Linked DNA regions of Rattus norvegicus. The protein of the gene in region 1 interacts with the protein of each later gene in a pairwise test. Links are inferred from orthologs where the notes say so. Each region holds a gene or a part of one and is shown in the gene's direction. Other genes may lie near its edges.

Region 1 (4,162 bases):
TTTTGAAAACTAGCAGAATGGCTAACAATATTTCATGGCAAGCCCTTTTGAGTGCCTTTGGTTATTGAGTGGGCAGGTACAGCAGCCCTTCCTATCAACTCTGAATTGGCTTGTTACTCTTGCTTCAGATGCACAAATTGGAGTGCTGCCTCCCAAACATAATGAATCAAATAAAGGAGTAGCACTTTTTGGGGGGACGGAAAGGGTCTGTAACCACTGAAGTTTGTCATTTTTAATTCTGCTGAGTTGGCAAGGGCAAAAGAAGAGAGAAATGGCTTATTTAATTTTTTTCTGTTACTATCCTAGTGGATCAAACAAATGAAGCACAGATTAGGACTAATATTTTGATATAGAGACTTAATTATGTAAGATTCAATTAATACAACAGAGGTCATTCTCACAACAGATATTCTCACAACCAAGGCATCTTTCCTTTGAGTGATGAGGACTCTTCCTTCACCAGGCTTGTGCTACACCAAGTCTCAACCTCCAAATAATATATGTGTAACACACACACACACATACACACACACACACACACACACACACACACAGACAAATTATATAATATATGTTATATTTACACTGATGGAGCATATATATTATAATATAATATTATATAATATTATACATATAATATTATATATATATATATATATATATATATATATAATTTCTCCCTGTACATAAATGCATCATGTAGTTGCAGTGCCCGTGAAGGCCAGAAGAGAGAGATGGATTTCCTGGAAATGGAGCTAGAGATGCTTTTGATGATCCCAGTGAGTTCCGGCCTTAGGTCCTTTGGAAGGACAGTTAGCACCCTAAGTCACTGAATAATCTCTCAAGTCACCCATCAATGAAAACTACTGAATCTTAAGGGCAATTTTTTTTTTTTCTTTTCCCCGTGTTCTAACTTTCTGATCAGGCTCACTTCAGCCTGGCTCTCCAAAACAGTAAAGTCAGACAAGAATGGGGAGGTTTAGGTATAACTTCTAGTTTACTGGGGTGTTTTTAAGAGTCCTAGTGAGAAATGAGTTAGTATAGCGCAGGGTGCATAATAATGCATGTTGATATTAATTCAGGGCTTAGCGAATCCAGTACATCTGAAAGGTCAACTCTCCAACTGGCTATCAAGTTTCAGCTACAGGAGAAACATTCAGATCTGCGCCTGCTCTGTTGGCATAGTAGCGCACCTTTCACTACTATTTTGAAATCCGTGTTTGTTTTCCAAATTACGACAGTCGTAAACGGTTTCTAAATTACGACAGTCGTAAAATCCGGTTTTTTTTTTTTTTCTCCTAAATACGACAGTCGTAAACCCAGTTTTCCTGACAGCTTCCTTGCTTTACATCAGCAATAACTATGGCGGCGTTCGGTTTAAGATTTGAAAGTGCTAGCAGTATTGAAGAAAGAAAAGAACAGACCCGTATTGCCAGGGCCGAGGTGTTACGCCAGGTACCCCTGCTTTGGAGAATTTTCTCTTTCTTTTTGAAACTGGGGGTTGTAAGGAGGGCATCTGAATGCTAGGTAGGCGCTTTCCCAGAATATATTAGTTCTTGAAATGCTTTCGTTTTTTAAATCTTAGGGTCTTGGAATGTTATTTAAAGTTGTAGTACTTGAGAATCCTGGAAGTTATTTCCCCACTCCTCTCGTCACTTCGATATTTCACCTGGTCTGATTTTGGTCTCTCTTTCCCAATGCAGTTGTCTCCTAAATGCTCTAACCGCCTACATTTATTGTTTCTCTCTGCAGAGAGATTGATATTAGTTCCCTTAGCTGTTAAGCCACTTATTCTTGACATTTCTGCCGTCTGGATTGCTCAGTTTCTGTGTCCGATGTCACATCTGAGGACTCTTACCAATTAAGTCGAAGTGTGAGTCATTGCTCCGGCTTATTGGAAGTAGGAAATATTTGAATACATTGGTGATTCCCCAAAACATTTCCTTTCAACTCTTAGGCTTAGGCCAGCTTTTACTGATTGAAACGCTGTTTAGCATAAGAGACTGAATATGTGCCCCCCCCCCAAGTTTGGGAACAATTCTCATTAACATTGAAATGTATGGAATTTATAAAAACGGAAGAAGCAAATTATTGAATTATCTGACCTGATTGTTACAATGAAAAAGAATTTGTAGTTGAACAGCAGAATGTTCCTTGACTATGTTTTTTTTTTATGATAAAAGAATTTTAAATACGTTTAAATGCATATAAAGAGTAGAAAATAGGAAGAATGAGTAATGGCTTCAATCACATTTTAAGGGTATAGGTGAGCAGTTAGTCTTGGTCAGATCAAACATAGTGATTATTGGCTGATTTCAAAATAGTTATAATGAATGCTCATCATGACTGATACTTCAAGCAGTTTTTGGAGGAAACTCTTTGTAAGCTGAGAAGAATTTTATACAAATCTACATGTAGTTTGATAAAGGCCAAAGTCAGCTTTGGAATTTGAGAGATGGATGAGAAAGCAAAAGAAACTTCTTGCACTGTATTACTGTTGCTGACTGCTGACTAGAATTTAGCTATATATTTTTTTCTTTTTAAGAGGATAATGTTTTTCTTAGTTGTATTGGGGTACACATATCGTCTATTTTGAAGGCATGGAAAAAAGTCAGCTTTAGAACTTTTGCGAAAGTCTGAAGAACTAGCCTCAGGGACTATGAAGGTTAAAGTGACTCCAAGTTGTATTTGAGGCAGGGAGAAAGGACATAGGCTAGTCTTAGACTGGATAATGTATGTGATTTGTACCCGAATTTACTGAAGATTGATAGTCTCAAAGAAAAGCTATTGATAGCTTTTTAAAAAACATTTTGTTTACACTTCAAATGTTATCTCCCTTCTCAGTCTCCCTTCCATGAACCCTTCCACCCCTTCCCCTCCTATTTGCCTCTAAGAGTTTTTCCCACCCATTCACCCCTGCCTCACCCCTCTAGCATCCCCCTTCTTTGGGGCATCAGACCTTTACAGGACCAAGCGACTCCCCTCCCACTGATGCTATATCAGGCAGTCCTCTGCTACATATGTAGTGGGAGCCGTGGACTGGCCAATGTATACTCTTTAGTTGGTGGTTTAATCCATGGGAGCTCTGAGGGGTCTGGTTAATTGATACTGTTGTACTTCCTGTAATTCCTTTCAGCTCCTTAACCCCTAACTCTTCCACTGGGACCCCAGGGCTCACTCCAGTGGTTAGCTGTGAGTATCTGCATCTGTCGTAGTCAGGTGCTGGCAGAGCCTTTCAGAGGAGAGCCATACCAGGTTCCTGTCTTCAAGACATCTTTGGCATCACATCAGCAATAGTGTCATAGGGTTTGATGTCTGCGATGGGGAGATCTCTGGATGACCTTTCCTTTAGCCTCTTTTTTTGTCCCTTCATTTTCTTCAGATAGGGACAATTCTGGGTTAAAAATTGTTAGATTGGGGGTGGGGGTGGTGGCACCATCCCTCCAATGGGGGCCATGTTTATCTACTGAAGGTGGTCTCTTCAAGTTCTATCTCCCTGCTGTTGGGTATTTTGGCTAATGTCATCCCCATTGGGTGCTGGGAACCTCCCGAATTCCTGGTGTCAGGGACTTTCCAGGGGTTCTCCAAGCACCTCCACTGCTGCTTCTTTCTATTTCTTCTCCTAGACCTGTGGACTTCTCTCCTGTCTCTTCCCATACCTGATCCTGCCTCTGTCCCTTCCTTCTTTCCTCCCCCTCCCTTTCCCACCCAGGACCCTCCTTCCCTCTGCTTCCTATAGTTTGTTCCCCTTTCTAAGTGAGTTTGACACGTCCACACTATGGCCTTCCTTCTTGTTAAGCTGCTTATGATCTGTGAGTTGTATCGTGGGTATTCTGAGTTTTTGGGGTAGTATCCACTTATCAGTGGGTACATACCATGTATGTCCTTTTGGTTCTGTGTTCTTCACGCGGGATGATATTTTCTAGTTCCATCATTTTACTTAAGAATTTCATGAAGTCATTGTATTTAATTGCTGAGTATTCCATTGTGTAAGGTACCCAATTTTCTGTATCCATCCTCTGTTGAGGGACATCTTGGTTGTTTTCAGTTTCTAGCTATTATAAATATGGCTGCTATGAACATAGTAGAACATGTGTCCATGTTGGAGCATCTTTTGGATATATTCCCAGGAGTGGTATAGCTGGGTCTTTAGGTAGAGCTA
Region 2 (3,500 bases), on another chromosome or scaffold:
TGGATTAGTGGTATGAACATTTTCAATCTCTTTCTCTTTTTCTCTCTGTCTCTGTCTCTGTCTTTCTGTTTCTCTGTCTCTGTCGTCCCCCTCCCCCCCCATGTGTGTCTGTGTGTCTGTCTGTGTCTGTGTATCTGTCTCTGTACCATGCAAGTCAGGAAAACTGTTGATTCTTGTCTTCCATTTTGTTGGAGACACAATTTCTTGCTCAGTGCAGTGTGTGCAAGGCTCTGTGGCCTGTGAGCTCTAGAAGATTCTTTTGCCTTCATCTCGCAGTTTGCAGTAGAAGTGCTGCCATTAGAGACACTTGCCACCATGTCCAGGTTTCTGAGATTCAAACTTAAGCCTTTTTTTAAAAAAAAAGATTTATTTATATGGCTACACTGTCGCTATCTTCAGACACACCAGAAGAGGGCATCAGATCCCATTACAGACGGTTGTGAGCCACCATGGTTGCTGGGATTTGAACTTAGGACCTCTGGAAGAGCAGTCAGTGCTGTTAACCGCTGAACCGCCCCTCCACCCCAAGCCTTTCTGTTGTAGGCACATGGTGTGAGTGAAGGGCAGCACCACTGTGTGCTCCATGGGAGAAGCTCAGTCATCAGGCTTCATCAAGTTTACCCCCTGCTTTTAAATTTGTTTTTATTTCTGATTGCGTGCATGTCTGTGTATGAGTTCAGTGCTTACAGAGGCCAGAAGAGGGCACTGGATGCCCTGGAACAGGAATGGCAGGCAGTTATTAGCCTGGTGTGGATACTGGGAACTGAGAGAGTGGTAAACATTCTAAGCATCACGCCCCCCTTTAACTCCTCACCACTGTTGGAGATGGGGTCTCTGTGTGCAGCCCTGGCTGTCCTGGAGCTTTCTGTGTACGGTGTAGACCAGGCTGGCCTTGAATGCTCAGAGCTCCTCCTGCCTCTGAGTGCTGGGATTGAGGTCTGTGTTATGCCCCTCCCTTCTTTTCAAGCAGGATGTCAAGTTGCTCAAGCTAGCCTCACACTCATAAATTTGAGGCTGGCCTTGAACTTCTGATCCTCCTGCCTCTACCTACTGATATCATAGGTATATGGTGTGGCATGCTTTGCGCCTCATTTCCTCTCTACAATGTTGGCAGTGTTGGCTTCATGTTAATGTTGAAAACATGCTAGTTTACTCCATAAGGGTCTTAGGGGAACAGACTGTGCCAGCAGACAGACAGCACATGGGAAGACTGTCTCTGACCTTTGCTTTGTCTCCTAGGAGGGTGACCATGGAAGACCTTGGGGAGAACACCACAGTCCTGTCCACCCTGAGATCTCTCAACAACTTCATTTCTCAGCGAATGGAGGGAGCATCAGGCTTGGATGTGTCCACATCTGCCTCAGGGTCCCTACAGAAGCAGTATGAACAGAACATGCAGGTGAGCAGCCCTCTGGGTCTCTGGGTGGGCCAAATCAGCTTGGAGGCTAGATGAGTGACCTGCAGACACTTGTAGGCATTTATCAACCTGAGCAGTAGCTGGAGACCAGGGCCTATCTTGACCATGCTGGTTAGAGGCTGCCTTAGTTGTCTCTGTGGAAACAGAACTCAGGTTCTCACACTTGGGAGACATGGACTATACCAACAGTGTGATTCATTTATTCAGTTTATCTATCTATCTATCTATCTATCTATCTATCTATCTATCTATCTATCCATCCATCCATCCATCCATCCGTCCCTCTGTATCTATCTATCTATCTATCTATCTATCTATCTATCTATCTATCTATCTATCTATCTATCCATCCATCCATCCATCCATCCGTCCCTCTGTATCTATCTATCTATCTATCTATCTATCTATCTATCCCTCTGTATCTATCTATCTATCTATCTATCTATCTATCTATCTATCCATCCATCCATCCCTCTGTCTCTGTCTGTCTGTCTGTCTGTCTGCCTGCCTGCCTGCCTGCCTGCCTGCCTGCCTGCCTGCCTGCCTGCCTGCCTGCCTGCCTGCCTGCCTACCTGCCTACCTACCTACCTACCTACCTACCTATTGAGATATGTAGCCCTGCTGTCCTGGAACTCACTCTGTAGACCTGGCTGGCCTCAAACTTACCAAGATCTGCCTGCCTCTGTTTCCTGAGTGTTGACATAAAAGGTGGGTGCCACCATACCCATAGAGGCCAGGCAGAAGTTTACTGTGATTTGTAGTCCTAGTTCACTCTGTTCTAATTCCCAGGAATGCTCCTAGGGATACAGTTCCAAAGGGGCCAGGGCTCCTGAATGAAGGGCTTCAGGCTCCAGAAGTGGCAGCCATAGCTCCAGTTGGGTTAAGGCTTCTGGGCCCTAGGAGAGTGATGTTCCTGCCTTGCCTGGTCCTCAGCACACAATGACCACACCAGGCTGCTCCCAGGCTTCTTTGCTCACCTCTTTCCTGTCCCCCTTCCGCTCTGGCTGCAGCTGTTCTGTGATGAGTTGGGAGCATTTGTTCTGGAGTCCTGGGGATGCTCATGCACCGCCCAGCAGACTGGACAGTGCTTGCAACATTGGTTTGCTGACTGTTCGTCCCAGCACCGCCTGCCCTCAGCTTGTTTTGGTGGCAAGCGTTGTCTTTCATCCTGTGAGTCTTTTATAACTGTCCTTTGTGGTTAAATCATCCGTCTTCCTCCCAGTCCTTCTTGGTAGCACTGGGTATTGAACCCGGGTTTTGCACACACTACACAATCATCTACCATTGAGGTGCATCTTTGCCTTTATTTTATTTGAAAACATTTTTTAAATTTCTTTTACTTTATGTGAGTTAGTGCTCCTGCATGCATGTGTGAATTTCTGTCATTTTTGGGTCTTCTCTAATAACAGTGAGTGCCTTTACTATTGAATCACCTCTCCAGCTCCTACATCCTTGGCTTGAAGCCACTATTTTCTGAAGTGAACTATCAATAGATGGTAATTGTGTCTGAGTACTAGTGAAATAAGAAGATGGGTACTTTGTTTTTAAAAAATACTTGCTCTTGAAAAACCAAAAATCCATCCCTCCTTCTCTCCCTCCTTCCACACAGGAGGCCGGCCTCCATCCCTGGGACCTTGGCTACATGCGGCAGACCCTCCATCCCTCTAGTGCATCTCCAGGACCAGCCTTACTTTTTATTTTGATACAGATTTCATTAAATTGTTCAGGTTGGCCTTGAACTTACTCTGTCCTAGGCTGGTCTGGAACTGTGATCCTCTTTGTGGGTTCTTATTTGCCTTATTTGACATGGGAACTGAACCCTCTCTTTTCTCTTTGGGTACCAACTGCTCAGCTGGAGGAGAGAGCAGAGCAGATCCGTTCAAAGTCCTACCTCATCCAGGTGGAGCGGGAGAAGATGCAGATGGAGCTGAGCCACAAGAGGGCTCGGGTGGAGCTGGAGAGAGCGGCCAGCACCAATGCCAGGAACTATGAGGTGGGTCCAGCCAGCCCCAGAAGGCCAAGGGCTGTGTGCAGCACTTGTCAGACACCAAACTGGGGCCCAGCTGCTGTGGTCAGAGGCATT
Region 3 (4,071 bases), on another chromosome or scaffold:
GAAAGGGGTGCCAGAGCCTACTGCAGCAGATAATTAGAATGGACGTAGCCAGGAAGAGGACAGCCATCTTTCCAATGTAATTATTTATTTGTGAGACAGGGTCTCCTGTGTAACCTGAGTCCGAATTGAAATCTCCAGGAGCCCCCAGCCTCTGAATTTTCAATTGCTAGAATTACAGGTGTGTGGCACTGTATCTCACTTAATCCATTAATATAGAGACAGGGAAAAGAACTATGAACTCTTCCACGGTTGGAGGCCACCAACAACGATGAGGACCATCCAAGTCCTTAAGTGACTTGGGATGTGGGAACAGTGTGAATCTTTCACCTATTAAAAAAAAAAAAAACAACAACAAAAAAAACCCTATAGCAACAATACAAGTTGTTAATTAATTTAAGCCAGTTAAAAGGCTTGGGCAAATAAACGTCTCTAAGTAGCTTGTTGTGAGCTGTGGCAGGTCCTGCCAAGCTTTCTTTTCAACCACATGCTTCTCATTCCACAGCCAGGCCACCACTTCAAGCAATGTACCCTAATCCTAGCCGCAGAAAACACTCCAGTGGGAGCACTTGCAACAATGTGTGTGTGTGTGTGTGTGTGTGTGTGTGTGTGTGTGTGTGTGTTATCGGATTCCTTGGCATGGAAATCTTCTCAAGCTGGAACCAAACAGTAAGCTCTGAGACTTTTTTTACAAGATCTGTCAACCCTGAAGTCGGAGCAAGCTAAAAATAAGTAACCACTACCACCACTGAGAGTTTCCCAACCCACAACATGGTGACTGTAGCTCATAGCTTGGAACAGGCCTGGCAGAGTTTTACAGTTTCATAGCCCTGACACTAGAGGGTTCCTTAAGCAAGTTTCTTCTTTTGTAAGTAGAGATAACACTACGACCTATCTTGTAAAGGCGAACAAGAAGGCTGTGCTGGAAGCGTTCCGCCCCACCGAAAAGAGCTGTGCAGAACGCGTTAAAGCCATCAACTCTCCCACTAAGCATGCTACGAACCAGCAGCCACCACTAAATCAGCATGCCCTTTCTTGAGGAATCATGGGCCGTGAAGTCCTTTGGAAGCCACACCCTCCTGGACTGCCAAGGAAGTGAGAACTACAACTCCCGGGATGCGACGCTGAGTCCACCACCGCCCCCGCCCTCTTTCCCGCCCCTCTTGCACAGCCTCCTGGGAGGTGTAGTTCTAGAGGCAGAAAATTGAGCGGCGTCGGATTACAGAAAAACCACAGGCCCCAGAAGGTCTGGCGTCACTCTTCCCCTCCCCTCCAGTAGTCGGAGTGCTGTTTTTGTTGTTGGTGAAAGGTGAGGGGAACAGCTGATCCGTCTGTGGGGTAAGAAACTTGGCCTAACTGAGGGTGGGCTTACGCGGGGATGGTCAGCCCTCTGCTCAGCCTGCGAAAGGCTAATCCGAGAGAACTGTAGAAGAGGACGGTAGGAGCGTTTAGGTTTTAATACTTTACGCGCTGAGGAAGCCTCCTTCACGTTTCGGGTTTGTTGGTTTCAAGGGGGCCTTCTGGGGGTAGCCCGCGTTGTCCTCACTTTCTTGTAAAGCTCGATCCGTTTATGGAAGCTTGAAGGGACTGAAATATTTGCTTAATCTTCTCCAGGCAAGTCTTTGCCCTCACAGACCTTCTCTCTCTCACCCAAAACCAAAGATCCGAAGGCCTTTACTACGCTGAATCCCTGAGGGGGAAACTTCCAACTTGTGGAACGCTAAAACACTGAGGGCCCTACAGTGAAGAGGACACACACACTCTCTCTCTCACACACACACACAGAGAACATTTGAACATCAGCATCTGACCACATACACTTTAGGTGCCCAGGTCTTTCAGTTCTGGAGAATGTCTGCAGCTGTTACGGATTTTCTTTGTGGGGAAGGAGAGGTTCGGGGTTCTCAACGTTAGAACTTTGGAGACAGATCTCACTCTACCCTAAGGAGAGTTATATTTGAAGAAAACACGGAGTAGCTGTAATGGGGGATTTTTCAGAGATAGAAATAATACATTGAAATAATAGCTCCAGTCCAGTCTCTTTTCGACGGAGAAATTGTTTCCTATTGCATTGCTGGCCCATCTTTCCATCTCCACGGAGTGTCTAATTTCTTTTAAAGTTCCTCCCCCACTGCCTCAGCCTGGTGTGGGTTTGTGATGTTTGGGGGCGTGCATATGTCGAGTGGTGATGGCTGATTGGACACATCGGCTGCTGCAGCTGACACAGGAAGCAGATGTGTGGGCTAGAGGGAAGAGGGCTGCCTCTCGGCTCTGGATTGAAGTGTATTTTTTTTTTTTTTGAGTTAATATACAGTGAGTTTCATTATGACATCTCAAACATGTACATCATACTTTGTTCTTATTCATCTCTGAGTAGTACTGTTTTGATTATTTTTTTTAATTTCTGTGTGTGGGTGCGCACAAGGTAGGTAGGTGTACAGAAGTCAGAGCACAACTTGGGGAAGTCAGTTTTCTCCTCCCACCATGTGAGTTGGTGGCAGGCACCTTTTATCCCCCCAGATATCCAACCCCCCAGAACTCTTGATTGTTGTTGTTGTTATTATTATTATTATTATTATTATTATTATTATTATCTATTTTCCAATTAATTCTCCCTAGCTAACTCCATTTTATCTCTGTATCTTCTGCCACTAACCCAAGCATAGGGCAGGATTTGGACCCTTAGAATTGAGGCTAAGGGGAGCCAACAAGAATGGAGACAGGTTAATAGGGCTGGCTTAGCACTCAAACAGATCACTAGGTTTCTAGCTCTGCTCCTGGCAAGATGTGGGGGAAAAAATGTTCCTTGTTGAACTCTCTGCCTTTTCTCAACACTGATGCACATTTCCCCTTCTCAGGGCCTCTTACCCTGTTTCCAACCTGTTCCCTGCCTAAGGGTGGGGCTTTCCTGGCTCCAAGCCCCCACATTCCATCTCTCCACACCACCACCTTCCTGCGGAATATTTCACTCCACCCTTGAACTACCACCTCCACAATTTTTGATTTCCTGGAATAGAAGCTGAGGGACAGAACCTGTCTATCCTATTATCCTCTCTCTCCTTCTCTAGTTCTTGGAGGAAAGCCAGAGTGTGCCTCCTTCTGCTTCCCTAGGGTTAACTGGGATAAACAATTCACACATAGGTGCAGCGAGAGCAGAGCAGCCGGGATTAGCTTGTTGGCCCCCAAACCATATCCCCCCTCTGGAGACTCATCATCATCATCACCAGTGATGAGTTATTGTTTTGGAACTCTTACCCGGGTAGAGTAGGTTCAGCAAGCTTAGGCATGTGTAAGGGAGGCCTGCTCAAACTGAGAGGCCCACACTTCCATTGGATTTTGAGTTCTAGAGCCAGAGGGTAGAGGGGATCGCATGGGGAAACTGAGAGAATCTGGGATTCCCAAGGATGTTGAGAGATGAAAGGGAGAGACAGAGATGGGCAGAGACCGAGATACTGGGTCAGTGGGGCAATGAAAAGGATTAGAAATTACACAAGCGAGGGAGGGGCCCGTAAACCAAAGAGGGTACAACCCCGACAGGGTAGGAAGTTGACTCGAAAGGCGACACCTACGCCCCAGGAATTAAAAATTCCCACAACCTTAGGGTCTGGGAACCTGTGTAGTGACAGGGACCATGAGTAGGTGCACTCGGGCCAAGGGAAGGAAGCAGTGGAAAGACTTAAGTCTATCAACCCTTTCTTTCCTAGGGCATCCGGCATCTTGAGGACACGATGGAAGAATCATCACTAAGCCGGGCACCATCCCGGGGTGGAGTCAGCTTCCTGAACGTGGCCCGGACCTACGTCCCCAACACCAAGGTGGAATGTCACTACACTCTGCCTCCGGGCACCACGCCCAGCGCCAGCGACTGGATTGGCATTTTTAAGGTATCCCTAGACCCTCTTCTGGTTCAAACTTACGGGACACAGGTTGGTTAAAATATGAGGAGGGACGAGGTCCTTAGATTCTCAGGTCGATAGGGAGAAAGATGACACGGGGCTGCCGTCCGTATGGTACAGAGTTCACCTCTCTATCTTTGCCCCTCTCTCTCCTGATAGTATACCGCCCTCCAGCCTC
Region 4 (4,276 bases), on another chromosome or scaffold:
CTAGCTCTCAAGAGGCAGGAGCAACTGGGTCTCTGAGTTTGAGACCAGCCTGGTCTACAGAGTTAGTTCTAGGATAGCCAGGGCTACACAGAGAAACCCCAGTCTTGAAAATAAAAACAGACAAACCTGAGAAAAAAAGAAAAAGAAAAAAGAAAAAGGAACTAGACCTGTGACAATCTCTCTTTGCACCTTCCTTTGCCTCTCCCCAGATAGGCTCTTCAGCTCTCACAATCTCTGGCCTTCAAGATGAGCTGTCTCATCTTCAGGAACTATTAAGAAAATGGACACCAAGAATATCTCCGGAGGACCACAGCAAGAAAAGAGATCCAAATACTATCCTTTCTCAGATCTGCTGAAACTGCTAGCCATCTCAAAGGCAGGGCAGAGGGCGGGGGTTTGTTTCTGCTGATGTTTATGTCTGACCTTGGTGCTTCGGGTTTGGTATTCCAGTCTGTAAAGCTCACTTAGTAGGCCAGTTTCTGTAGATGGTGCTACCAACCTCCAGCTCTCCTGTCTCGTTTGGTTCCTGGAGCTATTTTTGTTTCTTGTGATTTGAAAAATAAGAAACAAAACCAATTCAGAATGATTGCCTTTTTTCGAGGCAATTCTGTGCCATTTGGATGGTTGTCAAAAGTATGATATCAGAGACCCTTTTCATCAGCCCCAGCAAGGTGTCCTAGAGACCTCATTCTCAACCCCTCAACACTACATTGAAATCTTTTCTTAGTCTTCTGTGGGAATGAGGTGAATAAGGGAGACACCTCCTCCTCCCACTGTATATTTTTGTAGCAGCATTTCTATTTAAGGAGTTCATTAAAGCACAGTATTTCTACACATTGCTGGTATTTTCTTGTATTGAATGAAGATCTCAGCAAAGCGGTGGTGGTTGTGGGGTAGTGTGAACTGAGAAAAGGACACTTATTATTGTAAGGAAATAAAGGATTGGCAGGGCTGGGCAGAATGCACATGAAATATTGGGAAAGCCCCCCCGCCCCACACACACATACGCACACACACCTTTTTTGAGACAAGGTCTCTCTGTATATCAGGCTAGCCTGGAATTTTTTTTTTTTTTTTTCCGAGACAGATTTTTCTGTGAGGCCATGGCTGTCCTGGATCTCGTTCTGTAGACCTGGCTAGCCTTTAGCTCAGAGATCCACACCTGCCTCTTAAAGCTTCAATACCTGCCTGTGAGCACCCTCGGTCTCAAATTTCCCAAGATTGGAGGAGCTCTGACACTTACGGGAAACCAAAATACCTCGAGCTCAAGCCTAGGCCGAGGGCGAATCTGCACGAGCGTTGTGGACCGAATTAAAAATAGGCTGTTTTCAAAGGCAGTCCTGGCCCTGGATATGGCGGGACTTTGCCTAGCACACGTCTCTGCGTCACAGAACATACAAAGCTTGGTTTAGCATTTCAATTTGCGCTTGGGGTGCAGTGTGATGCCCTAACAGTCTGGAAGCATTCAGGGCTTTAGTTAACTGTATCAAGACCGGCTGATTCACTTCTGTTCCACCCCGATTGCTGCGGCAGCTCCAGAGCACCTTTCCCTTCTGTCCGACACGAATCTGACTCCTAAGATGGCCGCGATCGCTTCCGGCTCCTCCCTTGTCGCCGGCCCCGCCCAATGTGAGCCTTGGCCCGGAAGTGGAAGTAGAAACTGAGGTCAGGGGGGCGGTGCTGCTGCTTAGAGACGGCGGGAGCCCTTTCGCCATGGCTGCCGGACCGATCTCCGAACGGAATCAGGGTAATTGGGAGAAAAGAGACCAAGATAGGGGCAGGGAAGTGAAGAGCTGATTAATGCCAGAAGCATTTCTGCTTGGGTGGGAGACGAGATCCCTCTGATGTGAGACCGACCTCTGGGCGCCTGGCTCGCCTCGAGGCCAAGTGGAGGCCCAGGCCTATGAAGAGTGATGCTTCTAGATCCATTCTCTTTAAATACTCCTCTACCAAGAAGACAAAATTCTCCGGAAATACAGGATCAGCAAGAATGCCAAATTAGACGTAGCGGATTTTTCTAGACTGTGGAAGCTGAGGGAATTTCGGGTCTTTAGTTAACGTTTTTGGTTTTTATTTTACTTTTCACTCTTGACCCTCTCCTTACCTCCTGCTTCTTCCCTTTAGATGCCACGGTGTACGTGGGAGGTCTAGACGAGAAAGTGAGCGAGCCACTGCTATGGGAGCTCTTTCTCCAGGCAGGGCCAGTGGTCAACACCCACATGCCAAAGGATAGAGTCACTGGCCAGCACCAAGGTGAGTACATGTCGAGAATTAACCCTGTATAGCGTTAACGGCCCCTGAAGAGTCACAACTCCAGTCACAACTACTTTGGAATGAGCAACCTAAAGGTTCTTTTCCCCCTTAAGCTTCAGTTCAGTTTTTGGAATAGTTTCTCTTAGCACTAGTTACTGGAACCATTCTCAAGTGAAGTAAGATTATTCTTCTGTCATGTTCTTTTTATTGTTTTATTTTCAAGACAGTGGTTCTCTGTGTAGTCCTTGGCTGTCCTGGAACATGCTCTGTAGACCAGGCTGGCCTCAAACTCAGGGCTCCACCTCTGCTCCAGCATGGTGGCATTAGAAGCATGAGCCCCCACCCAGCCCTTACCTGCTTTGTTCTTTGTGTTTGCAAACTGGTGAGTTAATGTTTGATTTTGAATCTCTTCACCTGAGTGGTCTTTTTTCATTGGTTTCCTAGGCTATGGCTTTGTTGAATTCTTGAGTGAGGAAGATGCTGACTATGCCATTAAGATTATGAACATGATCAAACTCTATGGGAAGCCAATACGGGTGAACAAAGCCTCGGCTCACAACAAAAACCTGGATGTAGGAGCCAACATTTTCATTGGAAATCTGGACCCAGAAATTGATGAGAAGTTGCTTTACGATACTTTTAGCGCCTTTGGAGTCATCTTACAGACCCCCAAGATTATGCGGGACCCTGACACAGGCAACTCCAAGGGTTACGCCTTCATTAATTTTGCTTCATTTGATGCTTCAGATGCAGCAATTGAGGCCATGAATGGGCAGTACCTGTGTAACCGCCCTATCACTGTGTCTTATGCCTTCAAGAAGGACTCTAAGGGTGAACGACATGGCTCAGCAGCTGAACGACTTCTGGCAGCCCAGAACCCGCTGTCTCAGGCTGACCGCCCTCATCAGCTGTTTGCCGATGCACCCCCTCCACCCTCTGCCCCCAATCCTGTGGTTTCATCCCTGGGTTCTGGGCTTCCTCCACCAGGTACAGCTTGTAGTTCAGACTATGCCAGTGAGGCCCATGGGAGGGAGGTCAGGGGGCAGAGGAAGCCCTGGAAGAGTAAGCTGTGAAGTCAGTGGGCAGTGAGGGAGGAGTGAGGATGCTGGTGGGAGGGAAGAAGTTGGTGCATGTCCTTAGGAAGCTGGAGTGTAGCATGCTGGGAAAGACATTCTGTCCGATACCACTAATTGTCCTTCATTTCTTAAACAGGAATGCCACCTCCTGGTTCGTTCCCACCTCCAGTGCCACCTCCTGGGGCCCTTCCTCCTGGGATACCCCCAGCAATGCCCCCACCACCTATGCCACCTGGGGCTGGAGGACATGGTCCCCCAGCAGCAGGAACTCCAGGGGCTGGACATCCTGGTCATGGACATTCACATCCTCATCCATTCCCACCAGGTGGGATGCCCCATCCAGGTAAGTGCGCTGAGCTTGTAGAGGGGCCTTTGTACTGCTTCTCCCAGTGCTCTTTGTCTTGGGTGGAAATAGTCCAGAGTCCTTTTCTTCAGAAAACAAACAATACTTTGTACATGTTGGTGTGCTCCTGTGTTATCTCCACCTATAGCTTGTGCTTGGCAAAAGCTCTCAACCTCTCCTCTGCTTCCAAGGTTGCCAAATCTAGAAGACATTTCTGCTTTTGGTTTTTCGAGACAGGGTTTCTCTGTGTAAACCTTGCTGTTCTGGAACTCCCCCTGTAGACCAGGTTACCCTTAAACTCAGGGATCCTCCTGCCTCTGCCTCCCAAGTGCTGGGATTAAAGGCATATGTATTTTTAGATTTTCTAATGTCAACTTTAGCAACCTGGATCAATTCCTTTTTTATGTATGTGTAGATTTCGTGCTTGGTTCTCTTTTCTGTGTTTATCTGTAGTGTTAAATGTGAAGGTTATGATTTATTCTGGGTCTCTGTTCTGAGGTTCTTGGTAGACTAGAAAAGGCTGCTGCTCAACCCACAGTTTACTTTTCTCTTTCCAACACCATCTTCAATGGCTCTCACTTGTAGGAGCCCAGTCCACAACTCT
Region 5 (2,645 bases), on another chromosome or scaffold:
CTCTCTCTCTCTCTCTCTCACACACACAGAGAGAGAGAGAGAGAGAGAGAGAGAGAGAGAGAGAGAGTCTAAACTATGTACCACAGTGCTTTTTACTACCAACAGAGCACACTCTGGCATTTTCTGTTCTGTCTTTCTGAAAAGAGCAGTGCTGGTCCCTCATCCATCTCCCCTGATTTTCCCGCCCACAAAAGCTTTGCACAGAGCGGTTAGCAAAGTCCTGTTCCTGGAAACCCTCCAAAGTGCAGAAGCCAAGGCCACTGATCCAGTGGGAGTTTCTTCACTGGTGTCTCTTTCCTAGGTGGAAAAGAACATCATCCTGGAAGAAAAGATCCAGGTACTCCAGCAGCAGAACGAAGACCTCAAAGCGAGGATCGACCAGAACACGGTTGTTACCAGGTGGGTGAGCCCAGTTTCTCACTACGTCCTTCTCAAAGTGGCTTTCCCGGAACATCCGCATGTCCCAGTATCCAGTCTGAACAATCTCCTGGTGCCTCTCAGTTGATCAGAAGAAAAGCAGATGGCCGTGACCCCATGGTACACATCCCAGCTCTGCATCCCAGCCGGCCCCGTTCCCCAGAAGTGAGTGAGGACCTCAAGCCCAGGAAGCAGGGGCCCCAGAGCAGGAAGATTTCATCCCAGAGATTAGGAGAAGAGCATCAGCTAAAGTCCCCAGCTAAAGAGAACCATGGCTAGGTAACCCCAATATTCCAGAAAATCGGGTCAGCTCTTCCCTATAGGCTCCTGCTTTCAAGGAAGGATTGGGTCACTCTTGACCCCAGCTCAGAGTGCAGTGAAAACGTCTGTGGCGTCTGTGGCTGGCTGCAGGTTATTATACTGGGCAAGGCTAAGTCGCCCGAGTGAGATGGAGGCCTTCGCCTTTTCCCATTCTGTTGGACCAGACTCCTCGGTGTGGCTATGATATGTTATCCTGTGTACACCCATGCTTATGTGCACACACTCATGTATATATCCATTCACGCGTGCTCACACTTACACATACACTGATGCACGTGCATGCTTATACACTGGCATGCCACTTGTTCACACGCCCACACATACCCAGCCACCTTTCCTCAGACAGCAAGTGCAGGCGTCAGCCCAGAGTACCTTTCTGGGACTTTAGCCCATCCAGTTGTAAAATGTATTTGTACTTACTCTGGCCGATTCCTGAAAGCAGCGATCACTCTCTAAAACACAAGTTGAAATAGACAGGTGACTCCGTGGTTAAGAGCACTGGCTGCTCTTCCAGAAGACCCAAGTTTGATTCCCCGCACCTACCTGACAGCACACAGCTATCTGTTAGAGTTAACAGTTCCAGGAGACCCGCGCCCTCTTCTGGCCTCCACAGGCATTGCATGCAATGGTTCTCGGGCATGCACGCAGCCAAAACACACACATAAAGTACAAAAATTACCAAAAACACGCAGCAAAGCCAGCAATTTAAGCACCATGACATCACACACACACACACACACACACACACACACACACACACACACACACACGATTGCTTTCTCTCCCCCACCCCCGACCCCCGTTATCAACCGACGGTGATCAAACATCTATTTTTCTGGATGCCATGCTGAACGCCAGCCAAGAACATAACAGAGTCTTGACCCCTGCCCTCTAGGACTTGTGGTCCAGCAGACAGACATGTAGACAGACCGACTCTACAGCCGAGCTAATGACTTCAATCGCAGAGGCACGTACTCAGGGCTGGAGGTAACGGGAAAATATTCCCGGCTGATTGGCGCTGTTAGTCAGTACCCTGACCACAGCCGTAGACAATCTCCATAGCAACCCCTCCTATGGGCTGTAGCAGCAGCCCACGTGACCTACCATCTCCCCCACTTCCTACTCCAGCCTCTAGCCTTTCTTTGCTCTGTGCACAACTGCCCCCTAACCCAGCAGAGAGACCTGCGAGCCTGGGGAATTGCCCCCGGCCTCCGCCTATCAGCCTCTGTCACTAGTACGCCCAATGGTTCCCGCTGCTAACTACCATTCTCCCCCACGCAGACAACTGTCGGAGGAAAATGCTAATCTCCAGGAATACGTGGAGAAAGAGACCCAGGAAAAGAAGAGACTGAGCCGAACCAACGAGGAACTACTTTGGAAGCTCCAGACTGGGGACCCGACCAGCCCGATTAAACTCTCCCCCACATCTCCGGTGTACAGGGGCTCCTCCTCTGGACCCTCCTCTCCAGCCAGAGTCAGTACCACACCTAGATGACATCACCCTGCCACCCACAGGAGCTCAAGCTTCTGTCCGTCCGAGGGAGTGCTGGCCGGTGCTGGTGGCTGCCCTGTGCGCATGCTCAGTAGCTGCATACTGCATCTTAGGCAGAGTCCTCTCTGACCCTCGTGTGAGACCGTCCTGGTATTGGCGCTTAGGAAGGCGTAAGCAGCAGAGTCTGGTGTCCAAAAGCAAAACACAAAAACAAAAACAAAATGCTTTAGTATAGTTAGAAGCAAAAGAGAAACAGCTCCAATTGTTCCTGAGAGACGGAGTTCCGCAGCGGAACTTTAGGTCAGCCACAAACAGCTCCGTTTTTCGAATACTCGAAAACCCTCCTTGCACCGCTGCGGGTGTGTATTCAGATGCGTGGGTACACACCTGCGGCGACTCCGAATTGCTTTTTTTT
Region 6 (3,500 bases), on another chromosome or scaffold:
GAGTGTGCTTCACTCTCTCCTCCGTGGTTATGTTTGTGAGACAGGGTCTGAGGAGAGCCCCGGCTGAGTCAGACTCCGCTCCCTCTGCATCTGCCTCCCAAGGGCTGGGGTCCCACAGTGTCCATCCTACCCTGAGTGTTCATTAGTAGTGAGTGTTGCCTGTGGACTTTTACATGATTAGCCTCAAGGCCTGTCTGTCTTCACGTTTCTGTTTTCCCTTCTCTGTCGGTTCCTGCCTCCTCGCTGCACTCTGTAGGCGTGACTGGGGCTCAGGTTGACAGGTTGCCAGTATCTGTGCCGTCTTTGGGACGTCATCACGTTGTGTTCGTGTGTGCAGGCTTTACAGCCACCTGGACCTCACTGCACAGACCGCTCCTGCACATAGATAAACAGAAAGAAAGAAGTGAGTTCCACAGGAGAGAGCACAGGTGCCATGGTGACTCAGCTACGGAGGACATATACCATGGCAAGGAGTGACGGAATAAGTCAGTTAAAGGAAGTCGTTACCAACACTTGATCTGAGAGAGCACTTTGTTCTTGATGGTTGCTGCAGCCGAGGCAGTGTATGGAGCTGGGCTCACCAAGTGTTCTGAATTAAGAGCAAGACCACAGCAGATATTTTTCAGGTCATATGAGTGAACTTAGTGGCAGTGGGTCTTCTGTTTTGTTTAGACTGTTGTTGGGACTGCACAGTCATTTAGTCCTCAGTAGTCAATGAGACAGAGCATAAACTAAACATTTAGAAAATGTAAGAAAATTCTGGATTGGATTGGCTCATTTTGAAAGAGTGATCCTAATGAATTTAGTATACTGTCACTGAGACAGTCCTTGGGATTAGATGCTGCCACCCTTGTTTATCCCCAACTGAAAACACTTGGGGATTTGCCAGTCAGTGCTAGGGACTGAAGCCAGGGCTTGCCTGTTCAAGGCAAGTGCTCTATCCCTTAGTTAGAGCCCTAGCTATAAAAAACAGGAAACACACATGCACATGTGTGTGGTATGTGTGTCTGTATATGTGTGTGTGTTGTGTGTGTTGTGAATGTGTGTGTATATGTTGTGTGTGTTTTGTGTGTGTGGTGTGTGTGGTGTGTATGGTATGTATGTGTGTATGTGTTGTGTGTATATGTGTGTGTGGTATGTGTTTGTGTATGTGTGTTGTATGTGGTATGTGTGTATATGTGTGTGTATATATGTGTGTGTTGTATGTGTGTGGTGTGTATGTATATGTGTGTGTTATGTGTGTATATGTAAGTGTGGTGTGTTTGTGTGTGTGTGGTATGTGTGGTGTGTCTGGTGTGCGTGTGTATGCACGTGTGTATGTGTGTGTGTACCCAGAGGTCAATGCCAGATACCCTTTTCAGTCACTCTCTCCCTTATTTTGAGACAAAGTCTCTACTGAACCTGGAGCTCATCGGTTCATCTGTTCATGTTCACTGAGTTTTAAGTTGTTGTCTAGAAAAACTTATATGTGTGCAGAATCCTCTCTAAAGACAAAGTAAAATCTTTATGTGGGGTGAGTGAGTGACATGGCCCAGTGGGGGAAACCACCTCCAAGTTTGAGTGTGATCCCTAGGACCCATGTGGTCACAAGAGAAAAGTAACTCCCAAAGGTGTCATCTGATTGCCACAGTGACACTTGTCCACCCACCCAGACACATCCATTCTAGCATGCATATATGCACAGAGAAAAGTGTAATACTTTGAAATGCTCTGCCTGTTTCCTTTGTACATCACACCCAGTTTACAGCGTAGATGTATTAGTAATTAGGCCACTAGACTCTTTTCCTTACTTTACCTTTTGGAAAGAGGAAGCAGCAGAAAGTCTTGTTTAAAAAGTAGTTGGGGGTGGGGAGGAGTTGGGGATTTAGCTCAGTGTAGAGCACTTGCCTAGCAAGCACAAGGCCCTGGGTTCAGTCCTCAGCTCCAAACAAAAAAAGAAAAGAAAAAAAAAGTGTTTGGGGAAGCAGGTCAGTCTCAACAGAGCGTTTGTCCCGCTCACGTGAAGCCCCATGTTGGTCCCCAGTACCACATACGTCACGTGTGATGCGCATATTGATGTCATGTGTGAAATCCTGGCACTGGGAAAGTAGAGGTGACAAGACCTGAAGCCCGTCACCCTCAGTAACATAGAGATTTTTGAGGCTAGCTTGGGCTACGTGAGATCTATCTCAGAACCTTCTTTTTGGAATGCTATTTCAGAAATATCAGTTGTTAGTAATACCTCATCACGCTAGGCTTAGAGGGCTTTACAAAGTTTGTGTGTAGGTCAGAGCAACATCTGTGGGAGTTAGCGCTCTCCCTCCCCCACGTTGGTTCCAGGGATCAAGCTCAGGTTGGCAGGTTTGCTGGCAGGCGCCTTTACCCCGGGGCCATCCTGCTGGTGTGGCTTGTTTTATCTTGCTCTGGGATGAGGGCGTGTGCTGGGCAGATGCTCCTCTTTTTTTTTTTTTTTGGCTCTTTTTTTCGGAGCTGGGGACCGAACCCAGGGCCTTTCACTTCCTAGGCAAGCCTCTACCACTGAGCTAAATCCCCAGCCCCCCAGATGCTCCTTCTTGCGTGTGTGAGGGACTTTTCCTCAGTATTGTTCTTAAGCCTTCTCTTCCTCTTTTCTGTGATGCTGGGATTCAAACAAGGCTTTTTATAGCCAGGCAAACGTTATACTTCAAAACCACACCTAACCCCAATGTGGCATTTTAAATTACGAGTTTACTGAGTTAGGCCACATTATTAGCATTTGTTGTGGAAGTATACTGGGAAACATTTGATTATGAAGTCTTTTGTGAGTTTGAAGTGCAGGGTAAGAATTGCTTTCTTACATATAGGAGTTTTCAGTTAATTTTTATGTCTGTCCATAACTGTGTGCATTTAATTAGACTTTCCCGTCATCGTAGAGTGAATGCAGAACTAACCCCATTTTCCCTTCCTCTTAGCCTGAATGGTACTTCGCTCAGGTACTTCTGTGGATTGGAAGCCATTCTCACTTTCTGGATGAGAAGATCCAGCCAATACTGGATAAAGTGGGTTCTGCAGTGAACGCAAGGGTAAGAGGCTGAGCCCCGTGCACTCCGGCTTCCTGGAGGCCCCCTGGGCACAGTCCCTCCCTCATGCCTCCTTGCCTCTCTTTCAGCTTGAGTTTTCTCGCGGCCTCGTGATGCTCATCCTTGAGAAGCTGGCGTCTGATATCCCTTGCCTGCTCTATGACGATAGTCTCTTCTGTCATCTGGTAGACGAGGTGCTGTTGTTTGAAAGGGAGCTGCACAGTGTCCATGGCTATCCTAGCACATTTGCCAGCTGCATGCACATTCTGTCGGAGGAAACCTGTTTCCAGAGATGGCTGACTGTGGAGAGAAAGTGTAAGCACTCAGTGACCGTTGAGCTGACTTGAGGCTTTTGGTTTGTTTTGTTGTTTGCTTGCTTGCTTTCTGTTTTGGCCCAAGTTGGCCTCAGACTCATTGAGATCCACCTGCCTTTGCCTCTCAAATGCTAGGATCAAGGGTGTG
Region 7 (3,500 bases), on another chromosome or scaffold:
GATCCCTTGAGACTAGAATTCCAGACATGTACGAGTTCTCATATGGTGCGCTGGGAATCAAACCAGGTACCAAGTAAGAGAAGCAAGTTTCCTTAACCACTGAGCTTTAGGCAATTATTACGGAAGGAGATTGCCAGAGGTAGGAATGTTAGGACAGGAAGAATATGTATTTATAAAGTGAGACATGCTTATAATATATTAATGGAAGATAAATACACATACACACACACACACACACACACACATATATATATATATATCTCCACTCTAAGACTAGGTAGGGGGGCTGGGGATTTAGCTCAGTGGTAGAGCGCTTACCTAGGAAGCACAAGGCCCTGGGTTCGGTCCCCAGCTCCGAAAAAAAGAACCAAAAAAAAAAAGACTAGGTAGAACTAGGTATGAACATATCATTTAGGGATATCTATCTATCTATCTATCTATCTATCTATCTATCTATCTATCTATCTCAGTGTAATACTTGTTCCTGGCAAGAATTATTGAAAAATTTTAAGTTTTCCAGGCAATCTTTGCCAAAGATTTGATTTTTAGTAATGTGTATGTATATTCATGTATGTAGGTTTATGTGCTTGTGAGCAGGTCTCCAGAGTCATTGGAAACCTCCAGGGCTAGAGTTACAGGTGGTTTTGCACTACCCTATGTACGCTGAGAACTATTTTTTAGGCCTGGCGGGATGGCTCAGAGGTTGGGAGTACTTGCTATTCTTGCAGAGAACGTGGGTTCTATTCCCAGCACCCATATGGTGGCTCCCAATTTCCTATAACTCTAGGTTCAGGGGATGGAACGCCTTCTTCTGGCCTCCACGGGCACTTTAACACAAGTTGTACATATACACATAAATAAGTCTTAAAGAAAAAATTAAAATTAATTTTCCATGTATGAGTGCTTTGCCTATATCTATGTGTATGTAGCACGTGTGAGCCTGTACCTGTGAGTCAGAGGGAAGCATTGGATCCCTTAGAACGGGAGTCATGGATGATGTGAGCCACTATGTAGTTAGAAACCAAACCTGTACCCTCTCCTAACTGCTAAGACATCTCTCTGTTCCCAGTCTGTATTTTTATCTTTGTAATTTGAAATTATCTAGAAAGTACAGTAAATGCTACCTTTTGAAAATAATTGAACATATTTTCTTCTAGATTGCTTTGTCTAATTGATTACTATGAATGTAAACTTAGAAAACATCATATACAAAGGTATAAATATAATTTTTTATTTTTTTTATATTTATTTTTATTATTATAAATTGTTTCTGTAGCTTTTGAGACTTTATGGTATGGAAGTCTTTATATCATTATAAAGTTCTTTTCCAAATATAATTATTTTTTATTCTATGAGAATTCGATATCTGTATACAGTGTATTTCAAAAATATTTACCATCTGTTTCTCCCCCTCCCCCCAAATTCTGGATTCCTCACCACATCTTCCTCATAGCTTCATGTTGAAATTCTTTTTAATAAAAGTCTGCAAGATAGTATTTTACTGTTTAGGTTAAAATGTACTGTATCTACATGAAACAACAGAAGTGTATTTCCTCTTATATTGTATTAGCATCGTGGTATATCCACTGGATAAAAGTACATTCATGAAGTATATGCACATACAGTACATTGACTGTGGGGCAGAGCAGAACATAGTTATATACATTTAAATACTAAAGATAGAATGTCAGTGAAAATCCAGGCATGTAGCTGGGCGTGGAAGTTCATCTGTAATCTGAGCTCTCTGTAGGCTGAGATAGCCAAGGACTGAGGATAGCCACAAGTTTGAAGCCAGCCTAAGCTACATAGTGAATCACCAGCTGGCTTGAGACTTGCCGCGATAGTCCCGTGGGAAGATTACATTAATGCCTATGTAAGTAAACTTAAGGCATAGTGGTATATACTGTCATTGTGAGGCAGAGGGATGGTGTATGGGGGCAAAGGGAGAGTGGTGAGCGGTAAGGAAGCAGGAGGCTCTGCACACAGATGGCAGTTCTCAAAGACGGATGGGATGAAGGATTTTTCAGTTAGGTGAATATACCAGCAGGAAAATGAACACATTTAGGCATGTTCGGTAACCGCAGAGGTTTGGGACACAGGGTAAGTGCGGTGTGCTGTGTACTGTGTATTGGTATCCACTTACACTCTACAGGGTGTTTTTAAAAAGACCAGGGAATGTTCCATTTGTATTTTGCTTGTTCATTCAAGTATTTTTCATGCCCCCCTTGTGTCCCATGACAAAGTTTTTGGTTCTCACACATTCTAAGTGAAGAGTAGTAAACAGACTACTCTAAGACTAGGTAGTTGCTGCGATGTGGTACTATTCTCTGTACAACAAGTAGGAATTTGGGATTCCCATGTTTAAGTTACTCAGCCCTTACTAAATTGGCTTCAGTTTTGCTAGCTGCAAGTTCTCTTTAAGGATAGAGTTCCACAAGATGCACTGTGTTTGTCTTCCCACAGGCAGTGTGGGGAGGATGACAGCCAGTCAGAAGGAAAAGACTATCTAAACCTGGGCGTCTCACCAACCTATAAAGGCCTTCTGACGGTATGGAGACCAGCAACTGACAAATACCTTTTCATAAAGCAAAATAATCCCTAGGAGAGTTACTTATTTTACTGTGAAATACATTGCAGTCGTTACAGAAGCAACTTGAGAAATCCAATTCCAAGATCGACGTGCTGTTGGGTGAAAAGCTGAACCTCCAAAAAGATCTGGAAAACAGGTGAGGAAAACAATAAGAATGTTAGACCAATCATTCCTTCCCCCTTACTCTAAAACTGCACCTGAGTGAGTACCTGACCCTCCTGTGCTCCTGTTGACCAGTAGTATTTCATGGTGAATGGTGAACGGAATAAGAATCCTTCGGCAAGCAAGGGAAATGCGAAAATCGGAATCCATGTTGAGGATAAAATTGGCTAAGAACTTTGAGGAGATTCAGGGTTCCGTTTTCTGTTTGTGTTTATATGTGGGTGTAAGTGTGTGTGCAGTTGAGTGTGCACATTTGTGCTCCTGTGTGTGGAAACTAGAGGTCAGCATCAAGGGGCACTGCTGAGTTGTCTACCTTGTTTTATGAGACAGGATCGCTCCGTGAGAACTGCTGGCTGCTGGGAGTTTGCTAATTAGTCTAGGCTGCCCTGCCAATGAGCCCTAGGGATCTCCTGTCTTTGCCACCACCCTCCCAGTGCTGGGATTGTAAGTGTGCACTCTCGTGCGTCTTAGTGGACTCTTGGGTTTGAACTCAGGTCTTCATGTTTGCATGCCAAGCACTTTACCAGACGTAGCTGTCTCTCTAAGCCCAGGTTCAGTCTTTGTTTAGTTTTTCTTTTAAATTAGCTATAGTGAGGGCTGGAAAACTGCTGTGCAAGCATGTGAGAACTTGAGTTCAGATACAGAACTCTTGTGAAAAGGCAAATTGTAGCAGTGTGTATCTGTAACTGCAGCATTGGGTGAAGGTGTAAAGACTGGCAGATTCCTGGAGCTCATTGGCTGGCCAGTC

What was found.
Region 2: the proteins of Cwf19l2 (region 1) and Mad1l1 interact in binary tests that used the Homo sapiens proteins (3 or more experiments, as listed by UniProt). The two-hybrid records come from large-scale screens. The link is inferred for Rattus norvegicus from reciprocal best matches to the Homo sapiens genes CWF19L2 and MAD1L1.
Region 3: the proteins of Cwf19l2 (region 1) and Calcoco1 interact in binary tests that used the Homo sapiens proteins (3 or more experiments, as listed by UniProt). The two-hybrid records come from large-scale screens. The link is inferred for Rattus norvegicus from reciprocal best matches to the Homo sapiens genes CWF19L2 and CALCOCO1.
Region 4: the proteins of Cwf19l2 (region 1) and Sf3b4 interact in binary tests that used the Homo sapiens proteins (3 or more experiments, as listed by UniProt). The two-hybrid records come from large-scale screens. The link is inferred for Rattus norvegicus from reciprocal best matches to the Homo sapiens genes CWF19L2 and SF3B4.
Region 5: the proteins of Cwf19l2 (region 1) and Mtus2 interact in binary tests that used the Homo sapiens proteins (3 or more experiments, as listed by UniProt). The two-hybrid records come from large-scale screens. The link is inferred for Rattus norvegicus from reciprocal best matches to the Homo sapiens genes CWF19L2 and MTUS2.
Region 6: the proteins of Cwf19l2 (region 1) and Rint1 interact in binary tests that used the Homo sapiens proteins (3 or more experiments, as listed by UniProt). The two-hybrid records come from large-scale screens. The link is inferred for Rattus norvegicus from reciprocal best matches to the Homo sapiens genes CWF19L2 and RINT1.
Region 7: the proteins of Cwf19l2 (region 1) and Cep70 interact in binary tests that used the Homo sapiens proteins (3 or more experiments, as listed by UniProt). The link is inferred for Rattus norvegicus from reciprocal best matches to the Homo sapiens genes CWF19L2 and CEP70.

The regions. Positions count from the first base shown.
Region 1 is NC_086024.1:6,099,779-6,103,940, reverse strand, and holds the start of Cwf19l2 (CWF19-like protein 2), read left to right. Parts: upstream 1-1,362; coding exon 1,363-1,455; intron 1,456-4,162.
Region 2 is NC_086030.1:19,441,282-19,444,781, forward strand, and holds part of Mad1l1 (mitotic spindle assembly checkpoint protein MAD1), read left to right. Parts: intron 1-1,239; coding exon of another isoform or gene 1,240-1,249; coding exon 1,250-1,399; intron 1,400-3,269; coding exon 3,270-3,410; intron 3,411-3,500. UniProt on the Homo sapiens protein: Component of the spindle-assembly checkpoint that prevents the onset of anaphase until all chromosomes are properly aligned at the metaphase plate.
Region 3 is NC_086025.1:135,725,129-135,729,199, reverse strand, and holds the start of Calcoco1 (calcium-binding and coiled-coil domain-containing protein 1), read left to right. Parts: upstream 1-1,271; 5' UTR 1,272-1,335; exon of another isoform or gene 1,336-1,493; intron 1,494-3,701; 5' UTR 3,702-3,725; coding exon 3,726-3,881; intron 3,882-4,071. UniProt on the Homo sapiens protein: Functions as a coactivator for aryl hydrocarbon and nuclear receptors (NR). Recruited to promoters through its contact with the N-terminal basic helix-loop-helix-Per-Arnt-Sim (PAS) domain of transcription factors or coactivators, such as NCOA2.
Region 4 is NC_086020.1:186,420,191-186,424,466, forward strand, and holds the start of Sf3b4 (splicing factor 3B subunit 4), read left to right. Parts: upstream 1-1,476; 5' UTR 1,477-1,713; coding exon 1,714-1,747; intron 1,748-2,124; coding exon 2,125-2,253; intron 2,254-2,697; coding exon 2,698-3,240; intron 3,241-3,465; coding exon 3,466-3,672; intron 3,673-4,276. Other genes in the region: Mtmr11 (myotubularin-related protein 11), read left to right, coding at 210-356. UniProt on the Homo sapiens protein: Component of the 17S U2 SnRNP complex of the spliceosome, a large ribonucleoprotein complex that removes introns from transcribed pre-mRNAs.
Region 5 is NC_086030.1:11,744,859-11,747,503, reverse strand, and holds part of Mtus2 (microtubule-associated tumor suppressor candidate 2), read left to right. Parts: intron 1-301; coding exon 302-399; intron 400-2,019; coding exon 2,020-2,233; 3' UTR 2,234-2,645. UniProt on the Homo sapiens protein: Binds microtubules. Together with MAPRE1 may target the microtubule depolymerase KIF2C to the plus-end of microtubules. May regulate the dynamics of microtubules at their growing distal tip.
Region 6 is NC_086022.1:12,227,618-12,231,117, reverse strand, and holds part of Rint1 (RAD50-interacting protein 1), read left to right. Parts: intron 1-2,930; coding exon 2,931-3,041; intron 3,042-3,127; coding exon 3,128-3,353; intron 3,354-3,500. UniProt on the Homo sapiens protein: Involved in regulation of membrane traffic between the Golgi and the endoplasmic reticulum (ER); the function is proposed to depend on its association in the NRZ complex which is believed to play a role in SNARE assembly at the ER.
Region 7 is NC_086026.1:108,717,207-108,720,706, forward strand, and holds part of Cep70 (centrosomal protein of 70 kDa), read left to right. Parts: exon of another isoform or gene 1-277; intron 278-386; exon of another isoform or gene 387-1,157; coding exon of another isoform or gene 1,158-1,214; exon of another isoform or gene 1,215-1,501; intron 1,502-2,463; coding exon 2,464-2,548; intron 2,549-2,637; coding exon 2,638-2,726; intron 2,727-3,500.